Linked DNA regions of Caenorhabditis elegans. The protein of the gene in region 3 interacts with the protein of the main gene of each other region in a pairwise test. Each region holds a gene or a part of one and is shown on either strand. Other genes may lie near its edges. The genes, in order: Y37D8A.8, pak-1 and ptp-3.

Region 1 (4,922 bases), on a different chromosome or scaffold from region 3:
CTATCGCACCTAACGCGCTACGCTTTGCAGAAAATTAAGTTGGAAAACTGGGGAAAATTCGGATTGTTTTGAACCAAAATTGACTGAGCCATAGTCATTCGAAGATAATATCATTCCTTGGTTTTTTCTAAGTGTATTCGGGCCTGCGGTCCTCAATCTGGATAGACTGGTCTTTCCAAAAGCATACGTAGTCTCATTGAAGGCCTGCTCTGCTGGTAGTAGGGAAAGAAGTGGCCTAAAGTTTCTAAGAGTAAGAGGGTGGCCCTGATCCCCGATTTTTGGGTCTGAACGAAACACGATAGCATTGCAGGCCACCAGCATGTACTGCTGGATGATGTTAAAAGTGGCCAAAATTCAAAATTTGCCGAGGTCGGCAAATTCGGCGTGCTTAACAAACTCAGGAAAATTTGATGTCTAAAATGAAGAAAAATAGAAATTTTAAAATTTCCAATTATTTAAAAAATCTCGACACGACTGATGAGGTCATGGTGCACCGAACTAGTATTCCCGAGAACAGAACCGCGACGCGACACGCGACGCACAGTAAAACAACAAGTCTGGGACGAGGTGGTTTACCCCGCCAAGAAACCCCGACAAAATATTTATTCCGAACGTTATAAGTGATTGAGTGCAATTTAAACGAGTACACGAATTGGGCTTTCACTTGTTGAGATTCTCAAAAATTATCCTCTCTTTTTACGCGACAGGACCATTCCACAGTTCGGACAATGATGAATTGCGTCACGGATATCAATGCAACAAAGGATGTAGATGAGGAAAAAGGCGACGAAGATAATCAATATGATAATAAGCCAAGCGAAACATCCCATTTCGTATTCGACAACTGTCACAACGGTACACTGAAAAAATTGTTGTTTGAAAATGTGTCTACTTTGAGGGCTTATATCTCGGTTGGCTTGGGTTTTATCAAAAAATTTTTCACTGAGAAAATATAGAGAAATATTTTCTGCATATTTTGTTAGTTAAAATTGTTTAAATAAAACTAAAGACAACCGAGATATAAGCTTGTGAAGTAGAGCACTCACTCTGCATCTTGGACAATATTCCTGGTAGGGTTTGAATGATGGAGCAACTTTCTCGTAATACATGTACTGAAATTAATTATCCATGTTTTGAATTGGTTTATTATCTTTTTACCGGTGTTGCCACGACGACTTGTCCAGCTTCTTTTCTCTGAAAACTCAAGTATAAGGTTTGATCTCCGAGAATTGCGGGAATTTAGAGTATATTCCCGCATTTTTTGTAGATCAAGCCGCAATGGGGCAGCCTGACATTGCAATTCTATAGCCGTAAAAAAAATGCGATTTTCTGAGTGATTTTTGTAAACACACAAAAATTGGCAACCTTTGTGCCTGCCCGGAAGACGACCTAAGCCTTATACAGTGCTGGCCAAAAAGATATCCACTTTTGGTTTTTTGTGTGTAACTTTTTTCTCAAGCATCCATTTGACTTGAATTTTTCCGTGTGCATAAAGCGAAATGTTACGCAAATTTGCGGACCAAACATTACATGATTATCGATTTTTTCTGAATTTTATTTCAATTTTTTGATTTTTTCGTTTTTCCAATTTTCATTATTTTTTTTGAATTATCAATAAAACGCACTCTTTTTGTTGCACTGGATTTGTTTGGTTGATAAATTATTTTTAAGGTATGGTAAAATCTGTTGGGTGTAAAAATCTTTCCTTGGACGTCAAGAAAGCCATTGTAGCTGGCTTCGAACAAGGAATACCCACGAAAATGCTCGCGCTGCAAATTCAACGTTCTCCGTCGACTATTTGGAAAGTAATCAAGAAGTACCAAACTGAGGTGAGTTCGAAAAATATTATTTTTTAATAATAAATGTTTAGAAATCCGTCGCTTTGAGAATCTCGCCCGGCAGGCCTCGAGTGACAACCCATAGGATGGATCGCAACATCCTCCGATCAGCAAGAGAAGATCCGCATAGGACCGCCACGGATATTCAAATGATTATAAGTTCTCCAAATGAACCTGTACCAAGTAAACGAACTGTTCGTCGACGTTTACAGCAAGCAGGACTACACGGACGAAAGCCAGTCAAGAAACCGTTCATCAGTAAGAAAAATCGCATGGCTCGAGTTGCGTGGGCAAAAGCGCATCTTCGTTGGGGACGTCAGGAATGGGCTAAACACATCTGGTCTGACGAAAGCAAGTTCAATTTGTTCGGGAGTGATGGAAATTCCTGGGTACGTCGTCCTGTTGGCTCTAGGTACTCTCCAAAGTATCAATGCCCAACCGTTAAGCATGGAGGTGGGAGCGTCATGGTGTGGGGGTGCTTCACCAGCACTTCCATGGGCCCACTAAGGAGAATCCAAAGCATTATGGATCGTTTTCAATACGAAAACATCTTGGAAACTACAATGCGACCCTGGGCACTTCAAAATGTGGGCCGTGGCTTCGTGTTTCAGCAGGATAACGATCCTAAGCATACTTCTCTTCATGTGCGTTCCTGGTTTCAACGTCGTCGTGTGCATTTGCTCGATTGGCCAAGTCAGTCTCCGGACTTGAATCCAATAGAGCATTTGTGGGAAGAGTTGGAAAGACGTCTTGGAGGTATTCGGGCTTCAAATGCAGATGCCAAATTCAACCAGTTGGAAAACGCTTGGAAAGCTATCCCCATGTCAGTTATTCACAAGCTGATCGACTCGATGCCACGTCGTTGTCAAGCTGTTATTGATGCAAACGGATACGCGACAAAGTATTAAGCATAATTATGTTGTTTTTAAATCCAATTGCTCATATTCCGGTACTTTAATTGTCATTTCCTTGCAACCTCGGTTTTTTCAATATTTCTAGTTTTTCGATTTTTTTGAATTTTTCTGAAGTTTTTTCAAAATCTGTTGAACATTTTTGATGAATATTGTGTTTTTAGATTTTGTGAACACTGTGGTGAAGTTTCAAAACAAAATAACCACTTAGAAAAAAGTTACACACAAAAAACCAAAAGTGGATATCTTTTTGGCCAGCACTGTACCTCATAGTAGGCATAGTAGGCACGTAGTAGGTATGCTTGCCTAAAACCCAGACACATATTCTGAAGAATAGCAATTTACCGAAACAACCAAGTCCCCGGGAGATGCAGTTTTCTTCGATTCCGGAATGACGTCGTCAGTGTCTGCGACAGCTTGTGCGTACGATGGTGGCGGAGATCCATGTTGTGGATCCATTATGGAGAAAAATAGAAGAATGAGAGAAAAACCGTTTGACAGAGCCTTTTATACCGGAAACCTACAAGACGTAGAACAAAATTCCACATGGAGGTAAATGGTGTCACGTTTATTTTTGTTTTTTTTTTGTAAAAAAAAATAATTCTTTCAAATATAAAATTGTAAAATGTTGGCAATCTTTTCTGGAAAGTTGGAAAAAACTTCAGATGGCTGGGTAGTTTTCTAGAAAGCTTGATATTCAACTGGAAAGATTTGGAAATCTCTGGAAAGTTAGAAAAATGTGGAAGATCTCGCGGACGAGAAAACGTGAAAAAATGAGCAAAATGGCCTTCAAAACGGTGGAATAGGAGGATTCCTAGTCCCCCCCGTTCGCGTAGTCCTCTCGGAGAAGAAAATAGCGTGTAAAAGATGAGACGCAGACAACGAGACGGCCTCATTCCTTGTCTTCGCTTGTCCGAGTGAATTTCACCGACAATATTCTCAATGGGGCGCGTTTTCATCGAAATTATACAAAGCCCGGTAGCACAGAAACTAGATGGCTTGGTTCATGATACTCAGTCTGAAAACCTATATTGGCTGCTATCTCGAAAACTAACCCCAAATTTGATTTTGCGATGCATATGGAAAATGACCGCAAAAAAATTCTCTATCTTTTCTATTAAGTAATTTTTTGATTGAAAATTTCCTAACCGGTCAAATTTGTGTTTGTTAGGTAGAGCGCGTTGGCACCCATCTAGCTGCTGTGCCACCGTGAAAGAGACAGCCAGCGAGCACATGCAAAGGGGCTACCAAACATTTTCTTCGGAAAGTTAAATATGGACATTTTGCAAGCTTCTAAATTACTCTAAATACTTCCAGAGTGTGCACAGAAGTGAGCATCTGGTGTCAGTTTATTCCATCTCTCTATAGATCTCTACTGCACACAAAATTTTAACCAAAAAACATATTTTCTTCTTGTAAAATGAAGAAAAATTAATTTCAAATATTCTGAGTTTGCTTCAACTTCTGAAATAAGGATTTTTTGCAAAAAGTACAAAAAAAAGACAATTACTGAGTTTTTGCCACTTTTTTTTGGATTTATTATATTAAAATTCAAACATTGTAGGGATTCGAAAAAAAAACTCACTTCAGTAATTGCCTTTGACTGTCAAAAAAAAATTTTAAGTTTTGTTGGAATTTGAGTTGTTTTCTGAGTTCAAGTTAATTCTGAGCAAAAAAATTAAAAAAAAAAAACTTTCAACACAACTGCCACTCTAATATACGTCTTTTGTGCCAGTTCGGTTTGCCTACTGGACGGCCTACTTCACGCCTACTCACGAACCGCACGTCTACCAACCTGGCAGGGCTATGCGGCTGATGGGAAAAGTCGGCTGTTGGCGTCTAGCACGCTCGATTCCAGGTCGACTGTGCTCACTGAGCATTTTGGAAACATCGCTAATTTTTTTGGAGGGATCTACAGTACAGTCCTCGACCCCTCTACAGTACTCCTACAGTACCACCACTTCCAGAACCCCTACAGTACCTCTACAGTAAACATATATTTTTATTTTTATAAAATTGCACTGAACAATGACGTCACCCTATTTCTTCCCCTTTTTATTTGCTTTTTTGCATCACTCTGTTTTTTGTTCCTCTGCTTCCTTCCCTCCATCACCTTTTGTGATGTTAACATTCACATAAATATTATGTCTACTTTTTCCAATTTTATGTTGAA
Region 2 (6,829 bases), on a different chromosome or scaffold from region 3:
AAATCGTTGTCAATATTAATTTTCGAAAGATTTTTCTCTAACCAGAAACATATTTTTTTAGTTTTGATTTTAGTTTTCAATAAGAAATATGAAAAAAGTGGCATTATAGCACTATGAAACATTTGTAAGCTCCTGAAACTTTCAATCACTATTATGGTGAAAAATATAGTTCCAGAATACTCACAGGGATTATTCACATATTCAACTTGTTATGTGACTTGATTTTTTAAGTTTTGCTAAAATATGTTGTGCGTGTTCTTGAAAACCTTTAAAATTATCAATAATCAGCCTGACAACATTATCAGCCTCTGGAGTAACTTTTGTGTCCTTTAGCACAGTTGCTCTCAACAAAGTTCAGATATACCTAAATTGTGGTGGTGGGAGTTGAGTTGTGCTGCTGCAATTACTAGAATAACTATTTCTAGAATAAAATATATAGTCTAAACATAATCATTCAAATGAACTATTTATCATTTCTAATTTTTGAGGTAAACTACCTTATACCATGTACCTGGTCAGGAATAATAATAAATAATTTTTCAAAAGAAAATAGTACAATTTCCTTGAACAAAATTTGACTATTTTGAAAACTTTTCTGATTCTATAAGTAAATTCATCTCTCTTTTATTAAACATGATCAATTGTTTCAAACGTCATGAGACAAAATTTAAGATTTTGACCTTATGGCCGATTTTTAAATTGGAAACCACATGAAAACAGAGTTTCAATAGTTCCCACCTACAGACACTTGAAAAAGAAATAGGGAAATTTGGGCAAAGCTGGTTAACTGTAGATTTCCGTTCGAACGACACAAATGCAAGAAACCGAATGAAAAGAAGACAAAGTGAAGACAAAAAACTTACATAAATAATTGAAGTGTGTCGTCTGATTGGGAACGCTCAACAACAAGAAAAAAGAGATAGTCCAAATTGTGCATTGCGAGAAGAGATAAAGAGGGGGAAGATGTGAAATAATGAAGGGGCTTGAATTTTTACTCGTGATCGATTCCAGAAAACATTACACAAATTACTAAGGTGTGACTTTTTTGTTGGGAAACGGTAAGTTGGGCTCAAAGTAGATAGTTAGAAATGACTTGAGATGGAGAGAAAAGAAAACAGTTTCAAAGTAAGTACGACTTGAGATTTGAGAAGAACAAGAAATACACGTCGTGTATTGAGAATACAATCATCATAATTATGAGTTGCTAGCTTCGGCGATGCTCTTCTTCGCCGCAACGATTAAGTAGTACAGTGAAGCAAGCGGTTTGGCGCATCGGAGGAATGGATGCGTAAGGAGTTGGCTTGCCGACCATCGATTTTCAACTTGTACTTCCAACGCAGAGTCGACAAAGTCCTGGAAATTGGGACAGAATGGGAGAAATTGATACTGTACTGAAAGTAAAGTAAAACTGCGGTAGCAGTTGAGTCATCTTTTGTACATTTGTGACTAACTGTTAACAAATATTTTTTTTATCAAATCTTCTGTTTCGAAAGTTCTCGAGTTCTCTTACCTTGAACAACAAAGTCATGGAATCTCTTCCAGGGAAGTCGGGTTTGCCATTTGTAGCAATGAGATAGATAGCCTGAAAAAAAATATTTTTAAGATCAATATTGATTGATGAGAAATTTTAAGCTAAAATTATAAAACCTAAGTATAGCTGAAACAACTTTAACTTTAACTTTCTCGTCATTTTACAGCAACTTCTCAACAACGTCTCAATCTTCTCAACTTAAGCGATTTTTCAACAAAGTTTACCCAGCTTTCGGTAGTTCTCAATGCACATCTGTATCTTGCGGTGGGGGTCATCCCTAACTTTTACCAACTTTACCCAACTATTGCAACTTTTGAGATTGGTTGCTAAAGTTAGCTGAGAAGTTACGGAAAAATGTAAAGTTTCTGCTAAATTTTTTCTTAGGCGCCTGTTCAATAACATGACCTCAACCTGAACCAAATTATTTTCTGATCGTTATGGGCAAAACTGGGGTTGCTATTCTTACTAGGGAATAGTGGCCAATTAGATTTTTTTGAAATTCATTAAGCAACAAATTTATCGCTGTAACAACAAATTTCCATTTCTCATTCACACTCTGCGAGCACAAGTGTTATTGAAAGGAATCATATATTCAGATTCATGTTTTTTTTTTCAATTATCAAGCGTTGTCTTCTTAAATTCAAAAAAGCAAATATTTCATACCCTGAGTGGATTTTCATTCAAATATGGCGGTTCTCCTTCGACCATCTCAATCGCCATGATTCCCAAGGACCACACATCAACCTTGGGTCCGTATTGTTTGCGGGTCACCACTTCCGGCGCCATCTGCAATTGTCAAACATTAATTTCCTATTCGCTTTTTCAATTTCCATCACTCACCCAGTATGGAGTTCCGACCATTGTCGTGCGTTTTCTTTGCTCCGGCGAGAGCTGAGCACAGAATCCAAAGTCGGCTGAAATTCACAGAAGTAGGTTGCAAAAGCATTAAAAATTATAATCTTACTCAATTTCACCGAACCATCCATTCCCAAAAGAATATTGTCAGATTTAATATCTCTGTGAATGACGTGGCGGCTGTGGAGGAATTCAAGCGCTTGAAGAACTTCTCTGCAAACAGCTGCAATAATTCCATCCTCCATCTGGCACTCCGTGACAACATCAGTCAATGATCCACCGGCAAGATACTCCATCACTACCCATAATTCATCGCACACCAAATACGAATCCAAATAATTTACAATATTTGCATGCTTATTCTCACGCATCACCAAAATCTCATTAATGATCAATTCCTTCTTTGGTTGATCCTTCAGGTTCATCTGCTTGATAGCCACCTCCGCTTCGGTACTAATTTCAATAGCGGTGTACACAGAACCAGATGCACCTGAGCCGATTTTATCAACTTTTCTATATTTTCGATCTGGATTTCCGATAGACACAATGGTACGGAGCTTAGTCAGCACTTCAGCGTCAGTCATCTTTTTCTTAGCTTTTTGACCTCTGGCCTGTACACCAAATTGTCCTTTTGAAAGGTCTGGAATTTTTTCTTCCTCCTCTTTCGGTTTTGTGTACTGAAAATATACTTATATGTTATAGAGAACTTGGGAAAAATTCGGTACTTGTGTATTACATGCCCTCATTTTGAAATTGAATTAAATTTTCATTCATTTCTCCATATAATTTAAACGTGATATACATTTTTCCTCTCCAGGCTTAGAAAGATTATTTCCTAAACCTAGAAATAAAAAATGTGGTACACGTTTTTATTGTTTTTAACTTAAAAAAATACTCTAAAACTAAGGGCATGTAATACACAAGTACCAAAAATTCTACTCACAATACTCAACGTCCTTGCCGGCCTATCAGGGATAGCGGGAGGAACAATATCAGCAGGAGTTTCACCATGGGGGACCGGTGGCGGTGCATAACTCTGAAGCAATCAATATGAACTTCAAGATTATTCTTCCCACTTACCGGTGGCATACTCGATCTATTCTCATTTACACTAAACGTCGTCGGAGGAACTCCTTGCTTGCTGTTATACCCCGCACTACTTGTACTGGTTGTCATTGGATTCATCTTTCTTGGATCCTGAATTTTATTGCCATGATACGGCAGGGATGATGTGCTATATGGTTGCGGTTTCAGTCCGTATGATGGCGTCCGAGAAGGTGCGTCATCTATAAACACTGTAGAAGAATGAGCTCCATTAGCAAGACTGACTACGGGTTACTTACTCATATCGTACTGCAACCACTTCTGGCCGCTGCTTTCGCCTTGTGTGTAGTATTTGAGCGCGTCCAACACTGCCTGAGGATTCTGTTGCTGCTCTTGTTTTGAGATCTGTGAGTCTGTGAGAAGACGTGCCCATGCTTCAGGCATTCCCTGAAAATTTATATTGTTGATAAGGAGCAAAAGTTTCTGAGAAAAGTTTATAAATAAGATTCTACAGTAGTTTCTCAAGTCTATTCGACAAAACAGACCTCTTCATACTAAAAAAATTGGGACAATTTCATAGGTCTTTAGAAGAAACTATCTTTGGTTGAATACATGTTCGTGATAATTGGCTTCACTTAAATTTTTCTCGTATGGATTTGTTTTCTTAAAACGTCTCAAAAACGCAAGCTTTATTAACACTAACCATGGTTTCAAGAATAACACGTTTTTAGAAGATAATGCACTGAATTAACGGTTGCAAAATATTATTATAAATTGAGATTTGTTTATAATGATTTTTTGACTGAGGGAAAAAGTAAAAGTAGTAGTTTTTAGTTTTTAGCTTACTATTAGCATTCACGTTAATCTGGTACGATTAGCGGTTGCGACCGGTGTCAGAATGACAGCTGTATCACTCGTTCATCATTGGAAAATAATCTTGCAAGTAACGCAAGAGTGGGAAAACTGCTACAAAAACTTTTTGAAAAAATACTGACCGTAAATTCGCCGGTTTTTGGGTCATATCCGACATGAATTGTGTGTTCGAAATTGCTCGGTCGAGAGATCACTGGTTTTTCTGACGCTTCCTTTTTGTCTTTGTTCTCTGAAAAAAACAGGAAAATCAGGAATGGTTACAAGAGCAATATATTACTTTTCATGAACGGGTTAGGCATCGTCTTCTTTTTCTTGGTTGCTTCTGGCTCTTTGGGCAATGGCTTCAATCCGACGACCTGAAAAATTGAGTTAGTCAAGACATGGAGAATGGAAAAAAGAGAAATAGAGATGGGTGGGAGAGGGGCAAGCAACACATGCATCATCTGATTTGGAAGAAGAACCTTCGAAAGATTGTCGCCCATCTTTGGGGAGGAGTGGAGGGACGAGTTAATTACCTGATTCTCCCTCGTTGCCGAGCTGCTGAAACGAATTGGTGGTGCTGGTGGTTTCTCATCATACGATGAGAAAGCTTTCATTTTGGCAAGCCTGGAAAATTGAAACTGTTGGAAAAAGAAGACACAAGCATCAAACCAAAAAAGAATGAAGGAATACAGTATGCAATGTAAAACTGAAAAAGGAAAACAATAATTAGGAGGAATTTTCGTTGTCAAGTGAAATCGAAACTGTTGGAAAAATAGGAAAATTGGAACCAATATTCATGTTTTGTTGAGTCAAAAAAACATAGAAAAACGATCACAATAAAGAATCAGAAAAAGAAAGAACAAATTGCTGACCGCCCCCTTATAAAAAAATTGTTGGACTATGACTAACAAAAGAGGAAATTGATAGGAGCGGGCAGGGAAATGGATGCACAACACATGGTGTAAAGAGGACATTGACCCAGTGCTATGAGTAATCTTGGACCGAAAAAGCATGGCCCTTTCGCCTTTCGAGGTCGTCTATTGGATTGCTTTTCTATATTTTTTTAGTAATCTCAGGGTAGGAGTTATGGAAAATGTGGGACCCAGAATTTGACCTTTTCTTCGGAGTTCTCATTTGCATTATTGCTTCAAAGAGCCTATCTGCAACCAACGTCTGACGTGAGTTTGACCCGAAAAAGATAGATGGCTTTTTGGTTTTCAAAACGAAAGATTTCAAAGTTTAGGAGATGATGGATGGTGAATAAACTGGGCCAGAGGAAGAAGAAGGAATATTTTTCAAAGGAGAAAAAGAAGAGACGGGAATCTTTTTTAAAGTGTGATGATATGAGTCATTCATGTTTCACTTCATTTTATCGCCCACCACCGTGTGTTCGCGTACTTGTTTCCCGCTTGTCATCCAAGTGGCAATCAGCCGGATAATGTTCTAGAAGTGTGAAGCCGAAAAGAGTAGAAACTGTGAAACGAGGTTCGGAGTGAGTGACAATGTTGAGAACTAGTTTAGGAAATTAGAAAGTGAAAGCCGAAAAAAAGCTGAAAAGTTTGCATTCATACTAACGGTGAATGATGATACTTTTGGTCTAATACTATTCTCGATTAAAGGAGGGGTATCGGTTTTGGGTTTTTACTTGTAAGCACTCAAAATGTTCATAAAGGAACAAATTTAATAATGAGACCTCATAAAAATCATAGGGGGTTGATTGTGGCCATTTTCAATTACGTATGGGCTTTAAATGTACATTCATTAACAAAATAATGTAAGAAAATCACCAATATGCAATAAAAACATTCTAATCTTCAAAATAAATTTTCCAACAGCTGAGACATGAAAAAATAGCCAATTTTAATTAAAATTAGGTGTTTTTAAAATTTCAGACCGCCATAAAAAATTGTTGAACATTTTTTGAGAATCCTCATTACATAATCTGTTAATTTGGGAATATTTACAATCTAGACCTGCAAAAACCCAAAGGAAAATCACAAAACCGAAAGAAAAAAAAAAAAGAAAAATGAGAAACAAAATCTAGGTATCTAAGATTTTATTACACTGTCGATAAGAAATCCAATCTCATTTTGCACAATGTAGAAAAAAAACAGTTCGAAACCTGGACTGTTTGCTAGAAATGGAGAATGGCACTGTGTTTGTTGAACGCGCGCCATTTTCTAGTGTTATCAATTGAATGGAGGAAACAGAGAAAGATAACTAGTACGGTGGGTCGCGGATGATGCGGCCAAGGCAATTGATAAAGAGCTGCGGAGGGGCAAAACGGACGGATGAGGGGAGGATGTCGTTGGAGATAAAATCAATCGATAGCGGTCAAATGAAGAAGAACACACACAACCAGACATACGCACACACACATATACACGACAGGAAGGGGTGAAGAGGGAGTAAGAGATGTGAGTAAGAGAGATAGAACAACTTGGACAACCACCTAACATCTCGACCTCTCGACACTTATCATTTGGAGCTTCCTGAAATCTCAGTGAGCAGCAAAACTATTAGTGGGTGTTTCCCTGAATTTTT
Region 3 (4,925 bases):
AGACGACAACACCGGGGAAGAAGAATCATCGAAATTTGTGGCCGGGTGTCATAAAAATGAGAAATTGCTGGTCATCGGGTGTCGTCGTATGCCTGCACACATAAAGCACACATGTCGGGAAGGCGCCTAGATGACGACCGACATCTTCCAGATGACCTCCAATTACTAGTGATGGCTCACAGTTTGAGCACAGAAAGATGGAAGCTAAATGCTCGATAGATATCCGGATGGCGGTTTTTGGACGATTTTATTGACATTTGGAATTTATTTTATGATTGCCAGATCTAGAGAGGAGCTTGGAGGGTAAAAAACTATGAAGAGATTTTTTTATTTAAAGGTGTAGCAATCTGTCAAAGAAAAATTTCAACGCAAAATTTTCCAAAATTTACACTTTTGTTTTGAAAGGTTGGCACTTTTCCAAAATTTTGACTAAAAATGCTTAGAAGCTCAAACTATTTCAGAGTGTTGGCAGTGTTGTAGACTCAAACAAAAGTGTTTCAAAATGTATAGAATAATTTTTCGAATTTAAAAATTTGGTTGAAATGGCTGGAATTTGAAATTTTAGAGCTGTATCTTACAAAAAAAAGTCTCTGGAACTTTAAAAATTTAACTCGATTTGAAAATCTACCTCACTATGTATTATTGAGTCAGAAAACGGTTATATTTCCAAAAATAGATCAGAAGCAATGTTTTAGAAAAAATCACCTATTCTAAAGCTCAAAGCTTTAAAAAAATAAGGTCATGCTGAAACAAAAGCATTCCGCTCAAATGAGCACCACCGATATAAATGCTCATCAGGGAAAAATAGAAACTATGAAAAGTTATATTAAAAATACTTCAACTAGCAGGCCTAAAATCTAGAATAAAATTCGCTCACCGAATCAAACATAAATCAGTGAATCACACCTATTCTCATCAATTTCTCTCTGTTTCGCCCTTCCCACTCTATGTCATAAAAATGAAAATCACGAAGAGAACAAGTGACCGAATAAAAGTGACCAAGAGGCGCAGATATCAAGCCACATGCTCAAACAAATGCAAATGTGATCGCAACAAGAAGAGGAGGAGGAATGGACAACCTATTTTAATGCAAATTTGAACAGTTTTTGGCTGGGGCGCCTATTTTAAATTTAGTTAGGATGAGTTGACCCCTCTCGAAGTGCGAAATTTCAATGAATAACTGAACAAGTTAGGCATTCCAGTTTTTCAACAATTGAATTTGGATCATTATGTATTTCTAAAACAACTTAAACTTTTAAAATGCATTAACTGAAAAAATTTTGATTGTGTGTGAGCATATATTTTCAGACATTTTTTGGCACCGTAATTTCTGGTTTAAAATTATATAAAAAATTTTTAAAACATCCCTCCCTCAAAAAATCCCCATCCCAAACTAACCTTTAACATAAAGATTTGCGGCTTTCGAGTGAGCAACTCCTAATGTATTCCTTGCAATGCATTCGTATTTTCCCTGATCTTCTTCTCGAGCATGCTGAATCATCAGGGCTCCAGGGTTTCCGATTGTACTTACAGAGTATCTACCATCTGCACGAATGTCTAGCGGGATCAGGTCACGGAGCCAAAGGACTTTTGCTCGAGGATCTCCTCGGACCTGAAAGAATTTTTTTGAATTTGATTTTGGAATCGTTAACATTTTTAAAGTTTTTTAAAAAAATATTTTTTTATTTGTTTTTTTTAATTTGAAAACAGCCGACATAGTTTTTAGTATTTGGTTTCAGGTATATAGGGTAATTCCAGATGTGCTATGATATTTTGGTGTTGGTAACTTTTGGTATTTGTGCTATTTTTGCTATTTTAATCCCATTTTAACTCCATATTGAATTGTTCTTCTTTCAATTGTTAATTTCTTCAAGTTCATTTTTATTTCCGAAATATCATATTTTTAAAAGTTTTTAGCATTATTATTTGTTGATAAAATTTTAAAATCTTTTCATAATACATACAACGAATTTCCCATCTTAAACGCAACTATTTTAAAATTTCAAAAAACTTACCCGACAAGAGACATAAGCAGTTTTCCCCTGTTCGACCGACTTCAATGATGGATGAAGTTCAATTTGAGGGAACCCAATCGGAACTTTGTCTCGTGGGACAACGGTTAGTGATGCTTCTGCGACAACTGGATTGGCAACTCCATTATCAGCCGAGCAGGACACAACAGTCGCATTGTCATCCAGAGAGACACGTTCGAAACGGAGAGTCGATAAGCCGGTGGCCAAGGATTTTATTGATATTCTGGAAAATTTGTAACAGTTATATATTTCAATGAAGCCTTAATACCGATTATGATCTGTTATGGATTTTCCATTGACTCTCCAAATCACACTAGGCAACGGATTTCCATCTGCTCGACAGAAAAATGAGATTTTCGATTCATCGACGACGGTTGATGAGTCTGGACGGACGACTAGTCGGGCGGGGTCTGAAGATTATAAAAATAGAAACTGTAAATATAGTTCACTTGAATTCTTGCCAACAATACAACTTAGAATTGAATCCTCCGCATAAAACTGCGCTTAAATTTGAAACTGAGCTGGAATCTTAGGGAGTATTACAGCTTTATCCGGGCCTATGTGGTTGCAAAAAAAATGAATCTGAATTATTTTCCTGATTTTTTCCTGATTTTACAAGTGTCTAGGGGTAGTAAAGCTTTTTGAAACATTTTTTTAATAAAAAATGTTTTCCAATTTTTTTCTGAAAAAAAATTCCAAAGGTTTTTCTGTTTTCTCGAAAAACCATTATTTTTCAACCAAACCTGCACTATAACTTACACGCAAGAGCTTGAATATAACTCTGATAAGCTTCAGCATAAAGCTGATTATTTGTAAACTCTTCCTTCCGAACCAACGGAATTCCCCCGTCCTGCACATCCTGATTATCAGGTGGCTCTTCATCATTCCACCCGAAATCCTCATCCTCTTCCCCCAACTTACCGTCCTCTTTTGCCGCGACCAGTACGGTACTTAGCATTAGAAACAGAAGCAGCGACGAGCCTTTTCGGCGTGCCACATTTCGTAAGTGACGCGCTATCCGATTCATACTGTTGTTCTTGTTTCTGAATTGGATCATGATGTTTTTCTGATTAGAGAGATACACCCATTTTTGTTGGAAAATTTTTTAAAGTTTTTTCTTGAATTAAATTAATTTTATTTAATTTTTAATTTTTATTCGCGCTGCTTTCTGATCACAGAAGACTTTGTTGGGTATGAGGATTTAGAGGTGAGGATCTGAAATTTTAAATGAAAATTGTTAAGGGAACAGAAAGAAAAGAGCAGAAGTGACATCAACTACATAATCAAAGTTCAGGAAGCACAAGAGCATGAAACAAAAAGATATGAAAGGCCGATTAAAAAGCCACCACAAAAATTTTCCAAGCGACCTGGAAAGCCGCGCAAATGGGTTGAAGAACAAGAGGAAGAGAGAGAAAAGAAAAAAGTGGTGTGGAGAAGAAGGGGTCCCAGGGATTTATTTGGGAAATGGAAAATGTTGCTTTTATTAATGACCATTGCGCAAGGGCAGGTGAGGGGGTCATTTGGAAGGAGCTGGGGGCTTGGCGCGGGGGCGAGAGATTTGGAGAAAGGAGATGATAAATCTAATTGAGAAATCAAGGGAACACAATTATGAAATAGAGGGGTTTACAAAAATTTTTTCTTTATTCGGAAATAGCTCAGACTTTTATCATTTTGCATAACCTTTTCACAACCATTTTCATGTATATTTTTAGATTTTAAAAATTCAGACAATATATAGCAAGTTGGAGAAGCCTAGTTGAATTGGGATTTTTTCAATTTAATTCCTTATCATAGTTCATGGCCAAAATGTCATATTTTAACACAATTTTTTTTGGTTTTTTTTTTTTGAATTAAGAAAAGTAATACTACGATATTAGTTATTTTAGCACCATATAAATCAAAGTTCAAATTCGAAGTTCTAAAAATGCAAACAAAAAATTTTTTGAATATGTGAATTCTAAGACATTTTTGTAAGCGCTTTGTTTCAAGTCCCGTTAAAATCACCCCTGCCACATTCGCTTCTCTCAAAGCTTAAACTTTGAACAACTCTGCAAGAAAATAGAGAGTGTATAGAAGAAGAAGAGACGCAGAGCAAAAACATGCAAATGGCGGGACAAGACTAATCGAGGAATAAGGGGAGCAAAATGAAACAATTTTACTTCTATTACTATTACTCTTCTAGATGACCCCCATGTAATGAATGAATTCACACCAAGAGGTTGGAGTTGGAAAACTTTGATAGTTTATTTTGAGAAAAGGGGGAGAACTTTCTGTAGAGCAGGTGTTAAATTATAGTTTAATTAGTTTTCAGTGAACAGGTAATGTTCACAATGAGTCAACAGATTAAGGGGGTTTTGATACATCAAAATATGTTTTTAGAGATCAAAATGAGATTTTTTTTTTGAGAAAAATTAGACAAACCAATTTGTGAGTTAGTTCTTGAACATCAGCCGGATTCTGTAAAAGGTTCGGAAAATTTCAACTCAAATTCATCTTGCCACAATCTAGATTCTCTCAAGATCAAGCTCAAGCGTAATTGAGTACAAAATCTATTTTATAGAAAGCTGCATAGAAAGCTGCATTGTATTGGATAATCGAAGTCATTTTGTACTGTAAAATTAGGTTCAATCTGGGCAAACTTTAGCAACACTTGAAAAAAATGGGAAACCTTGACACCTTGAAAACTGGTCTTTAATAAAATGGAAATAATAAGTACCTTAAATACTGATGAGTTCAAGCTAATATCTGAGTTCTGTCGAGTTTTAAGGTTAAAATAACTTTTGAGCACCGTCCGGGCAATTTCAGAGGAGGGCAGCGGCACCGTCACGCCCGAACGGAATGGAATTTCTAGTCAGGGCTAAGTTTGGCAAAATACAGTAATATCTATCTAAT

Evidence for each region.
Region 1: the proteins of ptp-3 (region 3) and Y37D8A.8 interact in a two-hybrid assay, tested with the Caenorhabditis elegans proteins (one large-scale study listed by BioGRID).
Region 2: the proteins of ptp-3 (region 3) and pak-1 interact in a two-hybrid assay, tested with the Caenorhabditis elegans proteins (one large-scale study listed by BioGRID).

What each region holds. Positions count from the first base shown.
Region 1 is NC_003281.10:12,863,256-12,868,177, reverse strand, and holds Y37D8A.8 (LITAF domain-containing protein), read right to left. Parts: upstream 3,231-4,922; 5' UTR 3,209-3,230; coding exon 3,095-3,208; intron 1,195-3,094; coding exon 1,159-1,194; intron 1,113-1,158; coding exon 1,047-1,112; intron 861-1,046; coding exon 684-860; 3' UTR 559-683; downstream 1-558.
Region 2 is NC_003284.9:6,043,700-6,050,528, forward strand, and holds pak-1 (Serine/threonine-protein kinase pak-1), read right to left. Parts: upstream 4,906-6,829; 5' UTR 4,900-4,905; coding exon 4,819-4,899; intron 4,660-4,818; coding exon 4,581-4,659; intron 4,533-4,580; coding exon 4,426-4,532; intron 3,878-4,425; coding exon 3,730-3,877; intron 3,682-3,729; coding exon 3,467-3,681; intron 3,423-3,466; coding exon 3,330-3,422; exon of another isoform or gene 3,181-3,329; intron 3,064-3,180; coding exon 2,496-3,063; intron 2,446-2,495; coding exon 2,372-2,445; intron 2,318-2,371; coding exon 2,195-2,317; intron 1,583-2,194; coding exon 1,511-1,582; intron 1,354-1,510; coding exon 1,195-1,353; 3' UTR 610-1,194; downstream 1-609. UniProt on the Caenorhabditis elegans protein: Required for hypodermal cell fusion, together with cdc-42 and ced-10, leading to embryonic body elongation, which involves dramatic cytoskeletal reorganization.
Region 3 is NC_003280.10:10,973,704-10,978,628, reverse strand, and holds the start of ptp-3 (protein-tyrosine-phosphatase), read right to left. Parts: upstream 3,061-4,925; coding exon 2,793-3,060; intron 2,444-2,792; coding exon 2,302-2,443; intron 2,257-2,301; coding exon 2,016-2,256; intron 1,613-2,015; coding exon 1,399-1,612; intron 1,252-1,398; exon of another isoform or gene 1,102-1,251; intron 172-1,101; exon of another isoform or gene 1-171. UniProt on the Caenorhabditis elegans protein: Has a role in early neural and epidermal development; neuroblast movements during closure of the gastrulation cleft and epidermal morphogenesis. Vab-1 and ptp-3 may function redundantly within the same sets of neuronal precursors.